2 linked regions of the Stegostoma tigrinum genome follow. The protein of the gene in region 2 purifies or fractionates together with the protein of the main gene of each other region. This does not show direct contact. Links are inferred from orthologs where the notes say so. Each region holds a gene or a part of one and is shown on either strand. Other genes may lie near its edges.

Evidence for each region.
Region 1: the proteins of braf (region 2) and rptor purify together in Homo sapiens (affinity purification with mass spectrometry; 3 studies listed by BioGRID and IntAct, with this or other methods). This does not show direct contact. The link is inferred for Stegostoma tigrinum from reciprocal best matches to the Homo sapiens genes BRAF and RPTOR.

What each region holds. Positions count from the first base shown.
Region 1 is NC_081375.1:14,204,243-14,212,095, reverse strand, and holds the start of rptor (regulatory-associated protein of mTOR), read left to right. Parts: upstream 1-4,832; 5' UTR 4,833-5,242; coding exon 5,243-5,395; intron 5,396-7,853. UniProt on the Homo sapiens protein: Component of the mechanistic target of rapamycin complex 1 (mTORC1), an evolutionarily conserved central nutrient sensor that stimulates anabolic reactions and macromolecule biosynthesis to promote cellular biomass generation and growth.
Region 2 is NC_081371.1:2,748,951-2,756,004, reverse strand, and holds the start of braf (serine/threonine-protein kinase B-raf), read left to right. Parts: upstream 1-4,031; 5' UTR 4,032-4,042; coding exon 4,043-4,141; intron 4,142-7,054. UniProt on the Homo sapiens protein: Protein kinase involved in the transduction of mitogenic signals from the cell membrane to the nucleus. Phosphorylates MAP2K1, and thereby activates the MAP kinase signal transduction pathway. Phosphorylates PFKFB2.

The DNA of each region.
Region 1 (7,853 bases), on a different chromosome or scaffold from region 2:
CAGTTCACTTCCATAAATTGAACTCTGGATGCCAAGTTGGATAGCCTTCCTTTGGGATGCTGCTTCCAGTTGCAACTATAAACTAGCAGAGAATAACTTACTTATACCCCAAGGGGTGAAGCTCACCATTCCTAGTCTGTGTTCCAACACTCTCCCAGAGGCATGAGCTAAGAGTTTACTTCCCCATTCCTAAGCTTTGAAGTCCATTAGCCAACAAAGGATTCACAATAAACCCAGCTTCCATAAATCACAAAGATTTTCAGGTATGTGGAAAAACCCACTTAAGATTACCCTTTAACAGTTTGGGCCACTCCCTTTAAAACTGTACTTTTTAGTTTCCTACGAGGATATATAAGCTCATACTTGCATGTGTTATTTGGCAAAATGAACCTCAGGACAGTTTTCACACAAATGTATGGAATAGGCTTGAGTGAGTTCTTCATCTGCAACCATCTTATGACATTGTATTCTGGTGAAACTGTGCATAGAGTAGTGGGTGGGTACACACTCACAATACTGTTGTAGGTAATTCCTGATTTGGGGCCTGCCAGATAGTCATGGGAAGATGCCAGTCATAGACCATGTACTTCCATATACCTATCAGTGCTCAATGCACCAGCGGTGCTTATGTATCTTGATTTTTGCAAGCTTCTCATTATCATCAAAGTCCATAATGAAACTGGATATTCTGTTACTGCTCTTGATCTATAGCTGACGTCATCCCAACTGCTGGCGTTCTGAATCACTACTCAGCACAGAGACCCCAAAAGGCCAAGATTTGCAATGAGCAAAAATACCAACTAAGGTGCAATTTCTCCCTATTTTTCTTTATTTCTGTTAAATGGGGGAGTCTATTTTATTCTAAAAATTCTGCCTCACATATACTTTCTTCTGCAATGATCTCACAGAATATGAGTTCTCTGATTGGTGCTGCGAATCTGGTCCAGTCAGAGAGTCCTGGCTGACAGTTAGTTGGGTGAATGTCAGAGATACTGACTCTCTAGTATCTGACTCTGAATAAAGCAGCACTAAAGTCATGGACTGTTCATGTGCAAATGAAGGGTGGCTTGGCGACCAGATACCAACCTCTGTGTAGCTACTTCACTTTCTAAAATAAGAAAAAGCGAAAGGAAATAGGATTGTAAAAAGATGGAAATTAATGGAACATTACCAAAATTATATCTGAAAAATCACATGGCAAATTTTAGAGTCAAAAATTCAAAGATTTATGAGTCTAGTTTAGAAGATCAATCTTTGATATGTTCTTGAGATGGATTGGCTTGATCAAAATGTAAATGAACTGCCTCTGTCTTGACATTTGCCTGTGATTCAGTAATCACAACTGGAAAGATAAATTTCCTACACCTTATGTATGACTGTCAAATTTAAATGTTTCAGGGTTGTAGCTTCATCCCAAAGAATCTGTTGCAAATGTACTGAACCTTTCTTTGTGAAGCTTGTGGGCAGTGATATATTTGTAGGTAACTGCTTCTTCTTTAAATGACTGGTTGCTGTGATAGAGTCGTAGGTTGTTCGTAGTTTAAAATCAGAAAAAATAATTGCTGAGGTAATTGCTTTCACTTGCCAGGAGTTAAAAATGCCTGCTTGCTTAAATGTTATGGACAATTGGCAGCTCACAAGATAGATACTGATGAGGATGGCTGTACTGTCCATCCAGCAAGAAAAAAAAATCCTCTCTATCACAGCACCCAATCATATCTTCAGATTCCAGAGATTTTGCTTACATTATACTCCAACACCTTTCGCTCACAAACTAAAGTACAATTAATCATCCTTGTGTAAAGAACTGCAATTGGCAAGATGCACATGTTCCTCCTTGTTCTACTGTCCGGGTTTAGTTCATACAAATGATTCTGTTCACTGTCTTATATCTGTCCATAGTATCCAATCTTAATTAAGGCTCCATTCATAACTACTAGTTGGAATGTAATGTGAATAAGTGTGAAGCTATTCACTTTGGAAGAAAAACAGAAAGAAAGAGTATTTGTTTTAAAAGGTAAGGGGTTGGAAAGTTTTGATGTCCAAAGGGACCTGCTGTACTTGTTCATGAGTTATTGAAAGCAGGTGTAGCCAGCAACTGTATCTATGGTAATATTTAAGCAATATTTAGGTATTCACTCACGTTGCAATAGCCTTCGTGGTTTTGGACCAAATGCTGGAAAACGGGATTGTTGACCAGTGTGGACATGATGGGATGAATGGCCTCCTTCTGATCTGTAAACAACTATGAAAATATGAGTTAATTAGGAAAGCAAACGGTATGACAGCCTTAATCACAAGAAGACTTGAACACAGGAGAAAAAGATGTTGCTACAATTGTGTACAACATTGGTGGGACTGAGTCTGGGATATTGCATGCAGTTTATGTTCTCCTTATTTAAGGAGGGACGTATTTGCTACAGACAGAATGCAGAGGATATTCACCAGACTAATCCTTAGGATGTGGGATTCTTTTTTTAAGAGACAATGAGGAAGCTGGTCTTGTATCCCATAGAATATCAAAGAATGAGAGGTGTTCTTACTAAAACTCAGAAAATTCTTACAGGGTAGATATAAGAGGGAAGTTTCCTCTGGCTGGTGAGTCTAGACCATGTGGCAAAGTTACAGAATAATAATCAATTAGGACTGCAATGCGAAAGAAGTTCTTAGGAATTCTTTTCCTCAGAGGGTTGTGGAAATTCATTCTTTGAGCATATTCAAGTTAGAAATCAATACATTTCTGGAGACTACCAACATCAAAGGATATGAAGGTAGTGTGAGAACGTGGCGCTGAGGTAGATGATTAGCCATGATCTAATTGAATGGTGGATTAGGGTTAGTGTTAGGGTAAAAACAAACTCAGTGGGCTAATAGTCTACTCCTGCTCCTATGTTCCTAAGAAAGGAAAGGACAGGAAAAGAGGTCAAAGATGAAAGAACAAGGTTAAGATGTAGAGGACATATTAGCACTACTTAGCCAACTCCTGTGGATTGATTCAGTTAATGTACACAACTTCCTGTTTTAGCCGATTTTGTTTTTGTAGCGCTGAGTGCCACATATCTGTGCCTCATGATTGAAAATACCTAAGTTTGATATGACTTATTGTGAAAAGAAAGGGTTACATCATTAAATTTTTACAGGTGATTTTACTTCTTAAAGCAAGTTGATCTTCACAAAGAGGTGACAAAGACTGTCAGTTGGCTTGTCTAGCTAATTTTTTAAAAAGATCATGGTTCATCCATGACTGCATCTGACTATCTCTTGAATGATTTCAGATGTTTGGCTTTTTGACCCTACTCAAGAAATGATGCCGAGTATTGATCACTCTGCATGTAGAAATACCTTCTGATGTCAATCCCGAAGATCCCTCTTATTAGTTTATATTGTATCTCCAAGTCACACAATCATAGCTTATGTTAAAGGCTCAGTCTTATCTTTTGTTTTCCGCTTTTTATTTTATGTTCACATATCTCAATTCAGTCCTCAATAGTATGAGTAACTCTGCTTAGCTCAACTTGTTATGGATGGATGAGTTACTGATATGTTATCATTAAAGGGACAGAAAGATTAAAATTCTAAGCAGGTTTGGCTTGCCTATCTGATTTTCAGCTAAACAAATTAGAAGAAAACTAAGGTGTAAAATAAAATTAAAATTGCATGGGACATTAAGCAAAGGTATTTCAAAAGTTGAATGACAGATGAGAGATGTGAAAAGTCATTCTTGTCTCAGTGGGTACATTCTCACCTGAGTTGTGGGGATGAAATCTGGCTCTAGAGACTTGAGCACATTACCTTCACCGACACACTAGATGTTGCACTGAGATAGTACCAAGGGTGTTGGACATACCACCTTAATTCTGTAATGTTAAACTAATGCTAGCTCCCGCAGCATTATTGAAAAAGGAGTGGGGCCGTTCTCTTTGTTTTCTGGCCAATATTTATCCTTCAAGCTACATCACCAGAACAGATTATTTAACCATTGCTATTTTGCAAGATGATGCTGTACACCACTTGGCCTTTGTGTTTTTCACACTGTAGTATCAAATCCTGCAGAGAGTCTTATAGCTGAGATGACTGAGTTCTATCAACCGCAACCATTTTCCTTTGCATAAAACATGTCACCAGTCAGCGCAGCGGTTCCCTCTTGTTTCTAATTGACTCTAACTTTGTTGGGACTCCTAAATATCACACTTTGTCAACTGCTGCCTTAATGCCAGGGTCTTACCTCACCTCTGGAGTTCAGATCCAGTGTGGATGAGTAAAATGCATAAAAACGTTTTTGAACAAGTATTATTTTTCACAGGTTAAGAAATAATATGCTAGGTATAGAAGAGAAGAAAGATAGTCAGGCTGAAGGATTTCGAACACAGTCAGGTTGAAGATTGAGAAAACGTTCAAGTTGAATGATGAGAATACAAAAGCTGACGTTTCGTTCATCCAGCCTCACATTTTACATCTTGGATTCTCCAGCATCTGCAGTTCCCATTATCACTGATGAGAATACAGTCAGGGTGGGGAATTTAGAGAACAGTCAAGTTGAAAGATTGAAAATACAGTCAGATTAAATGTGTGAGAACACAATCGAGGTGAAAGATTTTGAATACAATCAGGGTAAAAGATTGCCAGGGTGAAGGATTGAGAGGACAGTCAGTTTGAAGGATTGAGAACACAATCAGATTGTAGTCCACCGTCAAGTTGAAGAAGGGTCTCTTGAACTGAAAACTCTGATTTCTCTCCACAGAAACCGCCAGACCCGCTGAGTTTTTCTGGCAGTCTGTATTTTTGAAGCATCGAGAACACAGTCAGAGTGAAAGATTGAGAAGAGTCAGTATGAAAGACTGAGTCCAGTCTGTTAGACTGAGAGGACGGAGCACATACATGAGGCAACATAAAAAACACACTTCCAGCCTGAGACCGGTTGCGACTGCGCGGATGGAGCCGCGCGGCTCGCCGTAGGGGCGCGGGGCATTGTGGCCTCGACCAAGATGGCGTCCTCCGTTCGGGCGGAATGAGGGGCCGCCGACCGGGATTTCGAGGCGGCCGTACCGGCACCGGTACCTCCTTGTCCGAATAGACTGCGTCTCGCTGTCAGCTTTCACCACCCCTTTTCCCCCCCTCACTTCCCCCTCCACTTGCTCTTTCCATCACCCCCCCCTTCTCCTGAGGTGGAGGTGGTTGAGGGGGGGGGGGAAGGGGGAGAGGTGTCAGACTCTGGTTGTACTGAGTGGAGCCGGGCCGCAGCATGGCTGGAGCCAGCCTCCTGGAGGACCTGCTGGAGGAGGAGCAGGGCGACATGACCGACTGGAACCTCCCGGTGGCTTTCGTAAAGAAGCGGCACTCGGAGAAAATCGAGGGATCCAAGGCGGTCACCCAGAGCTGGCGCATGAAAGACCGGGTAAATTCCCCCTTCTCTCTGTCTCCCTGACCTGCCTGGAGGTTACATTCAAACGCCCTCGCTCGCTACACCTTCCCTGGGGCTGCCTTCGTCCATCCTCATCCCATTCCATTTAACAAAAAAGTTTCTGTGCAGCTCGCAATAAAACTTCCCATTCCTCTCCGCATGGGTTTGCTTTCAGTGAGCAAAAGGAAACACGAGCGTTATGGTTTTCAAAAGTTTATTTACTCCATTGCCCGAAATTGCCACAACTTTTTGCCATTAAACTCTACCATATAAAATGCTGCTTTAACTCTAAACGCAAACCTTTGTATTTTGCACAATCGTTACAGCATTTCGTCTTGCTTTGTTAAATATGGATTATGCCTGATCTTTGAACAGGAGGCGTAATTAAATTCCAAAGAACCCATGTGGAAGCATAAGTACAGTTTTGTAGAATTTATCACCAGCGACACATTTGTCAGGAAATAACCTTTTAAGCAATGCTTCGAATTCACTTCACGTTTTTAAACGAAGAGTAAAGTACATTTCCAGCATGTAACTCTTGAGTCAAGTACTTGGTATTTAAAACAATTTTTAAAATGGTTTTTGACACTGTGGTTGCTGAATCTACATATTTCTCATGGCTATCAGTGTTTTAAACAAGATTCTGGTAGTTTTAGGCAAAAGTATTACTTTAACATCCCTGACCAACAATGTAATTGATAAGTTTGCAAACCTTGGAGAGTAAAGTTAGATGATTCTAAATGCAGATTAATTGGAGGTGTCATACTGTAAAAGTCTTAGATGTTATTAAATTTTGTTTGGAAACTTCATTATTTGATGCTGGAATTAAATAATGGATATATGCCTTTAAACTAGATTGGCAAAAGGGTGGGATCCTCAATAGGGAATCAAGTTGAGGCTGGGAAGAGATAGGGGAGTCAGAAATAGCACGTTCAAGAGACAGGTCTGGCTGGAACAGGACAGAGCGAGGGTTGCCTGATGGATTAGTTTGTAACTGTTTCAATGCAAGAGGGCTGACAGATAAGGCCGATGAACTTGATGTGGATAGGTATGTGGAGCTGGGATACTATAGCCATTAAGAAACATGGCTGAGGGAGGGACAGGACTGGCGGCTTAATGTGCCAGGGTGTAGGTGCTTTTGGAAAGTGGGGAGGGGGTGTTTCACAGCAGTAGTCAGATGAAATAACTGAGGGATCATCTAGTGAGGCTTTGGAGCTAAGAAATAAGGAGATGGTGACATTAATGGGGTTGTACTATAGGCCCCCCCAAATAGTTGATTGGGAATTAGGAAGAAATATGCAAGGAGACTGGGGTGACTTGCAGGAACAGTAGGGTCATCGTAGTGGGGGATTTTAATTTTCCTAATGTAGATTGGGACTGCCGTAGTATTAAGGATTTAGATGGGGTGCACTCAGGAAAGTTTCCTCAAGTAGTATGTAGAGGGCCCTACTTGGAAGGGCAGAACTCGACCAACTGTTGTGAAATAGGGCAGGGCAGGGCAGGTGACTGAAGTGACAGTGGGAGAGCACTTTGGGACCAGTGTCCATAATTCTGTCAATTTTAAAATAGCTATGGAGAAGGACAAAACTGGTCCACAGGGTCAAGTTCAAAATTGGGGCAAGGCGAGTTTTGATGGAATTATGCAGGAGCTTGCAGGAGTTGATTGGAGTAGTTTGTTGCAGGTGAAGGGACCTCTGGCAAGTGGGAGGCCTTTAAAAGCGTGATAGCTAGAGTTCAAGGTCTGTGTGTTCCTGTGAGGGTAAAGGGCATGGTTTGGCAAGAGTAGGGAATCCTGGATGACAAGAGATATTTAGGCTTTGACCAGAAAAAAGGAGGCATGGCTCAGGAATGAGCAGCAAGGATCAAGGGAATCCCTAGAGGTAGATAGGGGATACAGAGTTTACTGAAGGAAATGAGGATGGTGAAAAGGAAGATGAGGTAGCTTTGGCTGAGAAGATTAAGGTGAATCCGAAGAGATTCTTTAAGTACATTAAAGGAAAATACAATAACTAGAGAGAGAATATGATCCCTCAAAGACCAAAGGTATGTGTGGAACTGCAGTAGATGGATGAGGTCCTCAACATTTCTCCACTGTGTTTACTGTGGAGAAAGACATGAAGATTTGGGGCAGTTGAACTGGGGACCATTGTAAATGGTAGGGTCTTAAGGAGTGTAACAGAGTGTCCTTGGAGTTCAGGTGCATCATTCTCTGAAAGTGGAGTCACAGGTAGACAGGGCAGTGAAGAAGGCTTTTGGGACATTGGCCTTCATCAATCAGGGCATTAAGTATAGAAATTGGAAAGTTATGTTGCAGTTGGAGTATTGTGTTCAGTTTTGATAACCTTGATTTAGGAACGGTGTTATTCAACTGGAAGGAGTGCAGAAGAAATTTATAAGTATGTTGCCAGGACTCAAGGCATTGAGTTATAGAAAGAGGTTGAACAAACCAGGA
Region 2 (7,054 bases):
CTTTAATGAGGCCTATGGTCCTCAGGGACTATTGCAACTTTACTGATTAGACACTTTACGGAAATCCACGTAAATAAAGCCAAAGGACATTCTCTTGTCCATTATTCCAGTCACCAAAACATTCATTGTGGGATAGCAGTGATGTGGTAGTCGTAATATCTACTGCATTAGTAACCTGGAAGCCCAGGCTAATGTTCTGTGGGCATGAATTAAATCCTACCGTCTGGAATTCTGAAATTTGAAAAAAACCGGCCTAATTGTTGATTCGTGTAAAAACCAGTCTGGTTCACTAATGCCCTTTAGGGAAGGAAGTCTGCCACCCTTACCTGGTTTGGCCTGTAGGTGACTCCAGACCCACAGCAATTAGGTTGACTTTTAATTGTCATCTGGGCTATAAATATTGGCTGACGAATCTGTGCCCCACAAACCATGAACAATTTTTTTTAAAGGATAAGTCGTTTATGAAAGAACTTCATGGAGAGTCATACACACAACATCCATAGCAACACCCCCATCTGCTACTTCAGTCACCAATATATTCAGGCTATGTAAGGCATGACCATTGTAAATAGATCACAACTTTTGGAGTAACAAGGTGTAGGGCTGGATGAACACAGTGGACCGAGCAGCATCAGAGGAGCAGGAAGGCTGACGTTTCAGGCCTAGATGCTTCTTCTGAAAAATGAAGAACGGTCTAGGCCCGAAACATCAGCCTTTCCTGCTCCTCTGATGCTGCTCGGCCCGCCGTGTTTATCCAGCTCTACACCTTGTTATCGCAGATTCTCCAGCGTCTGCAGTTCCAACTATCTCTGAAACAACTTTTGGAGTGTTGCTCCTTCATCGGGTGAAGTGACTTCAGCTCTGACAGCTTGTGATTTCAAACAAATCTGTTGGACTATAACCTGGTATGACTTCTGATTTTGTGGATCCCAGTCTAACACTGGCATGTCCACATCATTGTAAATAGATGTTAGCTCTCTGATCAATTGGACATTCTCAAAATGTTGCATCTCTCTATCCTTAAAAGTAGCCTTTAGTCATTTCACAAGAGCAGTTGATAGAACAACTCGTCTATAGTTTCCTTTGCATTCCTTAAGTACTGCAGTGATATTTGTGTTTTTTTTCAATTTAAAGGAACAGTTTCCACTCAGGAGAACTTTGCAATATCTGTAATAATAACACTGTGTTTGTCTATAAATCGGCTATCCAGGCTATAGACTCTAGTGTGATCAGAGATAATGGGAACTGCAGATGCTGGAGAATCTGATGAAGGGTCAACAATGTCTTATTAGCTGAAACGTCAGCTTTTGTGCTCCTGAGATGCTGCTTGGCCTGCTGTGTTCATCCAGCTTCACACTTGGTTATCTTATTATAGACTCTAGTGTGTCTATTTCCTCAAATATTTTACTCTTATGTTTCTTACTTCTCCCTTTTAATCAATTACTTTACATCTTTCAGTCTTCCCTTTCCATGTAGAGCCTAAAGCTCAAACATTTTTTAAATTAATTTTTCTTTTGTGGGATGTGGACATCACTGGCTGTGCCCAGCATATATTGCCTGACCCTAGTTGCCCTTGAGAAGGTGGTGGTGAGCTGCCTTTTTGAACTGCTGCAGTCCTCCTGCAGTGGGTTGACCCACAAAGCTCTTAGGGAGGGAATTCCAGGATTTTGACCCAACAACGGTGAAGGAACGGCAATAAATTTCCAATTCAGGATGGTGTGTGGCGTGGAGGGAAACCTGAAGATGGTGGTGTTCCCAAAGATCTGCTGCCCTTGTCCTTCTAGATGGAAGTGGTCGTGGGTTTGGAAGGTGCTGTCTGAGGATCTTGGTGAATTTCTGCAGTGCATCCTGTAGATAGCACACACTGCTGCTACTGAGCATCGGTGGTGGAAGGAGTGGATGCTTGTGGATGTGGTCCAATCAAGCGGGTTGCTTTGTCCTGGATGGTGTCAAGATTCTTGAGTGTTGTTGGGGCTGCACTCATCCAGGCAAGTGGGGAGTATTCCATTACACTCCTGACTTGTGCCTTGTAGATTGTGGACAGGCTTTGATGGGGTCAGAATGTGAGTTACTCGCCACAGTATTCCCAGTCTCTGACCTGCTCTTGTAGCCACTGTTTTTATGTGGCAATTGCAGTTGAATATTTGTTTAACGAAAACCTCCAGGATGTTAACAGTGGAGGTTTCACTGATGGTAACACCATTGAATGTCAGTGGGCAATGGTTAGATTGTCTCTTATTGGAGATGGTCAGTGCCTGGCATTTGTTTGGCATGAATGTTACTTGCCACTTGTCAGCCCAAGCGTGGATATTGTCCAGAGACCTTGTTGTATTTGGACATGGACTGCTTCAGTATCTGATGAGTCATGAATAGTGCTGAATATTGTGCAATTATCAGTGACCATTCCTACTTCTGATCTTATGTTGGAGGGCAGGTCATTGATGAAGCAGCTGAAGATGGTTGGGCCTAGGACACTACCCTGAGGAACTCCTGCAGAGATGTCCTGGAGCTGAGATGATTGACCTCCCACAACCACGACCATCTTCCTGTGCGTCAGGTATGACTCCAATGAGCGGAGAGTTTGCCCGCTGATACCCATTGATTCCAGTTTTGCAAGGCTCCATGATGACACACTTGGTCGAATGCAGCCTTGATGTCAAGGGCTGTCACTCTCACCTCACTGACTCTTACTGTACTTACACTTGGTTTTGGACTATTTTGCAAATTACTGCTTTCCTTAAAAACTCTCTGTTCACACCATACATAGTTTGAACAACCGGTCTATTTACCTTTTCTGCTCGGAACCTGAACCCCTATCCCATCTTATCCAGTTGGATTGGAGCTTCTTCCAATGGTACAGTTCCCATCCATTCCTGTTTTGTTGGCAGTGCCCTATGAAAATGAATCCCTCTGTCCCACACTCCATCAGGCACATGCTCAGACCCCTACATCATTTTGCACATAGAATCATAACTGATAGGAGCAGAAATAGCCATTCAGCCTATTGAGTCTCCCAAACCATTCATGCCTGATCCAATGACAGGCTTGACTTCACTTTCCTGTGATGTATCTATCTAATAGAGCCTTGAATATATAAAAAAAAACAGTCTCACTATGATCTGGGCAAGAGAGTTTAAAAGCTAAATTGCCTTCTGAGAGAAAAAAAAATTCCTCCTCATTTCTGGCTTAAATGGAATATTGTTTTGAAACTGTGTCCACTCGTTTTAGAAGCCCCCATCATGACAGGTAGCATTCCCAGCGGTTACCCGGACAGGTGAGCCTCCAAATCTTGCAGGTTTCCATAGTATTACTTCCTATTCTTCTAAACACCAGAGTGTTAACCCAACCTTTTCAATCTTTCCTCAGAAGACAACCTCTTCATCCTAGGAAGCAAGGGATATTTCCCTGAACTTTTGCAAATGCAAGTATATTCTTTGATAAGAATGGAAACCAAAAGATTTCAAGATACAAGGGGGGCAGATGGGAGTAGATGGAGAAGTATCTTGGGAACCAGGTCTATAAATGAGGCTCAAACGTTTTAGGAATGAAATCAAGAAATACATTGAACACACTACATTGGCGATATCGTTGTGGAACTCCCTACAATAAATGCAAGGTTAATTTGTATTTCTCTCTCAGTCATATTTGTCAGTGATATTTGTAGTTATCATTATCTCTCAATCAGGACCTGTCTACATTTTATTTATCTGTGTGAATCTGTCCAGATTTATATTTATCTTTCTCCCTCTGAGTTATTTATATCTCTTAGGCAGGACCAGACTACCTTGTATTTATCTCTATAACTCAGCCAGGGACAGTTTAACTTGTAGTCACCTCTATGTCTCAGTCAGGTAATCTCTATGTTTATTTAACCCTTATCACTGAGTCATGATCTGTCCATCTTGTGTTTATCTCTATCTATCAGTCAGGACCTGTAAGAGTCAATGTTTATGTATACCTCCCAGTCAGGACCTCGCTCCCAGAATTCACCGTCGACGTCATGGCTGCGCAGGCGTCAGTTCCGGCTGGGCCTGCCGCGAAGATGGCGGCCGCCAGCCCCGATCCGCCGCCGTTAAACGGCCCGGAGGAGCTGATGGAGCCGCCTGGTGAGGAGTCTGAGGGCCTCAGTGTCTCAGAGGAGGTGAGACTGCGATCAGCGGGACACATGGGCGGGGGTTTGGAGGGAGGCTGGGACTTCCGAGTGGGATCGGGTCAATCCCAAACACTGCAGCCGCGGGACTTTCAAACCAGGGACTGACAGAGAAAGAGAGATGAGGGTCAGAGTGTAATAATATCATCAATAACTAAATAAATAACAGTCTGGTGCTGAGGCAATAGGCCTGACTGAGGCACGTCTGTCACTGTGTAACACTGGGGTACAGTACCAGTGGGGACAGGTCTGTCACTGTGTAACACTGGGGTACAGTACTGGTAAGGACAGGTCTGTCACTGTATAACACTGGGGTACAGTACTGGTAAGGACAGGTCTGTCACTGTATAACACTGGGGTACAGTACTGGTGGGGACAGGTCTGTCACTGTGTAACACTAGGGTACAGTACTGGTGGGGACAGGTCTGTCACTGTGTAACACTGGGGTACAGTACTGGTAAGGACAGGTCTGTCACTGTATAACACTGGGGTACAGTACTGGTAAGGACAGGTCTGTCACTGTATAACACTGGGGTACAGTACTGGTAAGGACAGGTCTGTCACTGTGTAACACTAGGGTACAGTACTGGTGGGGACAGGTCTGTCACTGTGTAACACTGGGGTACAGTACTGGTAAGGACAGGTCTGTCACTGTATAACACTGGGGTACAGTACTGGTAAGGACAGGTCTGTCACTATAACACTGGGGTACAGTACTGGTAAGGACAGGTCTGTCACTGTATAACACTGGGGTACAGTACTGGTAAGGACAGGTCTGTCACTGTATAACACTGGGGTACAGTACCGGTGGGGACAGGTCTGTCACTGTATAACACTGGGGTACAGTACAGGTGGGGACAGGTTTGTCACTGTATAACACTGGGGTACAGTACCGGTGGGGACAGGTTTGTCAATGTGTAACACTGGGGTACAGTACTGGTGGGGACAGGTCTGCCACTGTATAACACTGGGGTACAGTACCGGTGGGGACAGGTCTGTCACTGTGTAACACTAGGGTACAGTACTGGTGGGGACAGGTCTGTCACTGTATAACACTGGGGTACAGTACCGGTGGGGACAGGTCTGTCACTGTATCACACTGGGGTACAGTACTGGTGGGGACAGGTCTGTCACTGTATAACACTGGGGTACAGTACTGGTAAGGACAGGTCTGTCACTGTATAACACTGGGGTACAGTACCGGTGGGGACAGGTCTGTCACTGTATAACACTGGGGTACAGTACAGGTGGGGACAGGTTTGTCACTGTATAACACTGGGGTACAGTACCGGTGGGGACAGGTCTGTCAATGTGTAACACTGGGGTACAGTACTGGTGGGGACAGGTCTGCCACTGTATAACACGGGTCCAGTATGGGTGGGGACAGGAGATGTCACTGTGTGACACTGGGGTACAGTACTGGTGGGGACAGGTCTGTCACTGTATAACACTGGGGTACAGTACTGGTGGAGACAGGTCTGTCACTGTATAACACTGGGGTACAGTACTGGTGGAGACAGGTCTGTCAATGTATAACACTGGGGTACAGTACTGGTGGGGACAGGTCTGCCACTGTATAACACGGGTCCAGTATGGGTGGGGACAGGAGATGTCACTGTGTGACACTGGGGTACAGTACTGGTGGGGACAGGTCTGTTATTGTATAACACTGGGGTACGGTACCGGTGGGGACAGGTCTGTCACTGTATAACACTGGGGTTCAGTACTGGTGGGGACAGGTCTGTCGCTGTGTAACACAGGGGTTCAGTACTGGTGGGGACAGGTCTGCCACGTATAACACTGGGGTACTGTACTGGTGGGCGCAGGTTTGTCACTGTGTAACACCGGGGTAGAGTACCGGTGGGGCAGGTCTGTCACTGTATAACACTGGGGTACAGCACTGGTGGGTCAGATCTGTTACTGTATAACACTGGGGAACGGTACGGGTGGGGGGCGATCTGTCACTGTATAACACTGGGGTACAGTATGGGTGGGGACAGGTCTGTCACTGTATAACATGGGTACAGTATGGGTGGGGACAGGTCTGTCACTGTACAACACTGGGGTACAGCACAGGTGGGGACAGGTCTGCCCCTGCATGACACTGGGTGGGACAGGTGTGTCACTGTATAACACTGGGGTACAGTGCAGGTGGGGACAGGTCTGTTATTGTGTAACACTGGGACACGGTACCGGTGGGGACAGGTCTGTCACTCTATAACAATGGGGTACGGTACTGGTGGGGACAGATCTGTCACTGTATGACACTGGGGTACACTACAGGTGGGGCCAGGTCAGTCACTGTATAATACTTGGGTAGCGTACCGGTGGGGACATGTCTGCCACTCTGTGACACTGTGGTACTTTACTCAGACTGTAGTAAGGGAATGGAACGCTTTGCCTGCAACGGTAATAGATTTGCCAACTTTAGTTACATTTAAGTCGTCATTGGATAAGCATATGGATGTTCATGGAATAGTGTAGGTTAGATGGGCTTGAGATCGATATGACAGGTCAGCACAACATCGAGGGCTGAACGGCCTGTGCTGTGCTGTAACGTTGTATATCTATATATCTGTATGTTTCTACAGTACTGGTGGGCACAGGTTTCTCACTGTGTAATACTGGGTTTCAGTACTGGTGGGGACAGGTCTGTCACTGTTTAACACAGGGATACAGTGCGGGTGTGGACAGGTCTGCCACTGTATACCACTGGGGTACAGAACCGGTGCAGATGGAGCTGTCGCTGTATAACACTGCGGTATAGTACAGGTGAGCAAAGGTCTGTCACTGTAGAACACTAGAGTACAGTTCAGGTCGGGACAGGTCTGTCGCTGTATAACACGGGTCCAGTATGGGTGGGTACAGGTCTGTCACTGTATAACACAAGGGTACAGTACCGGT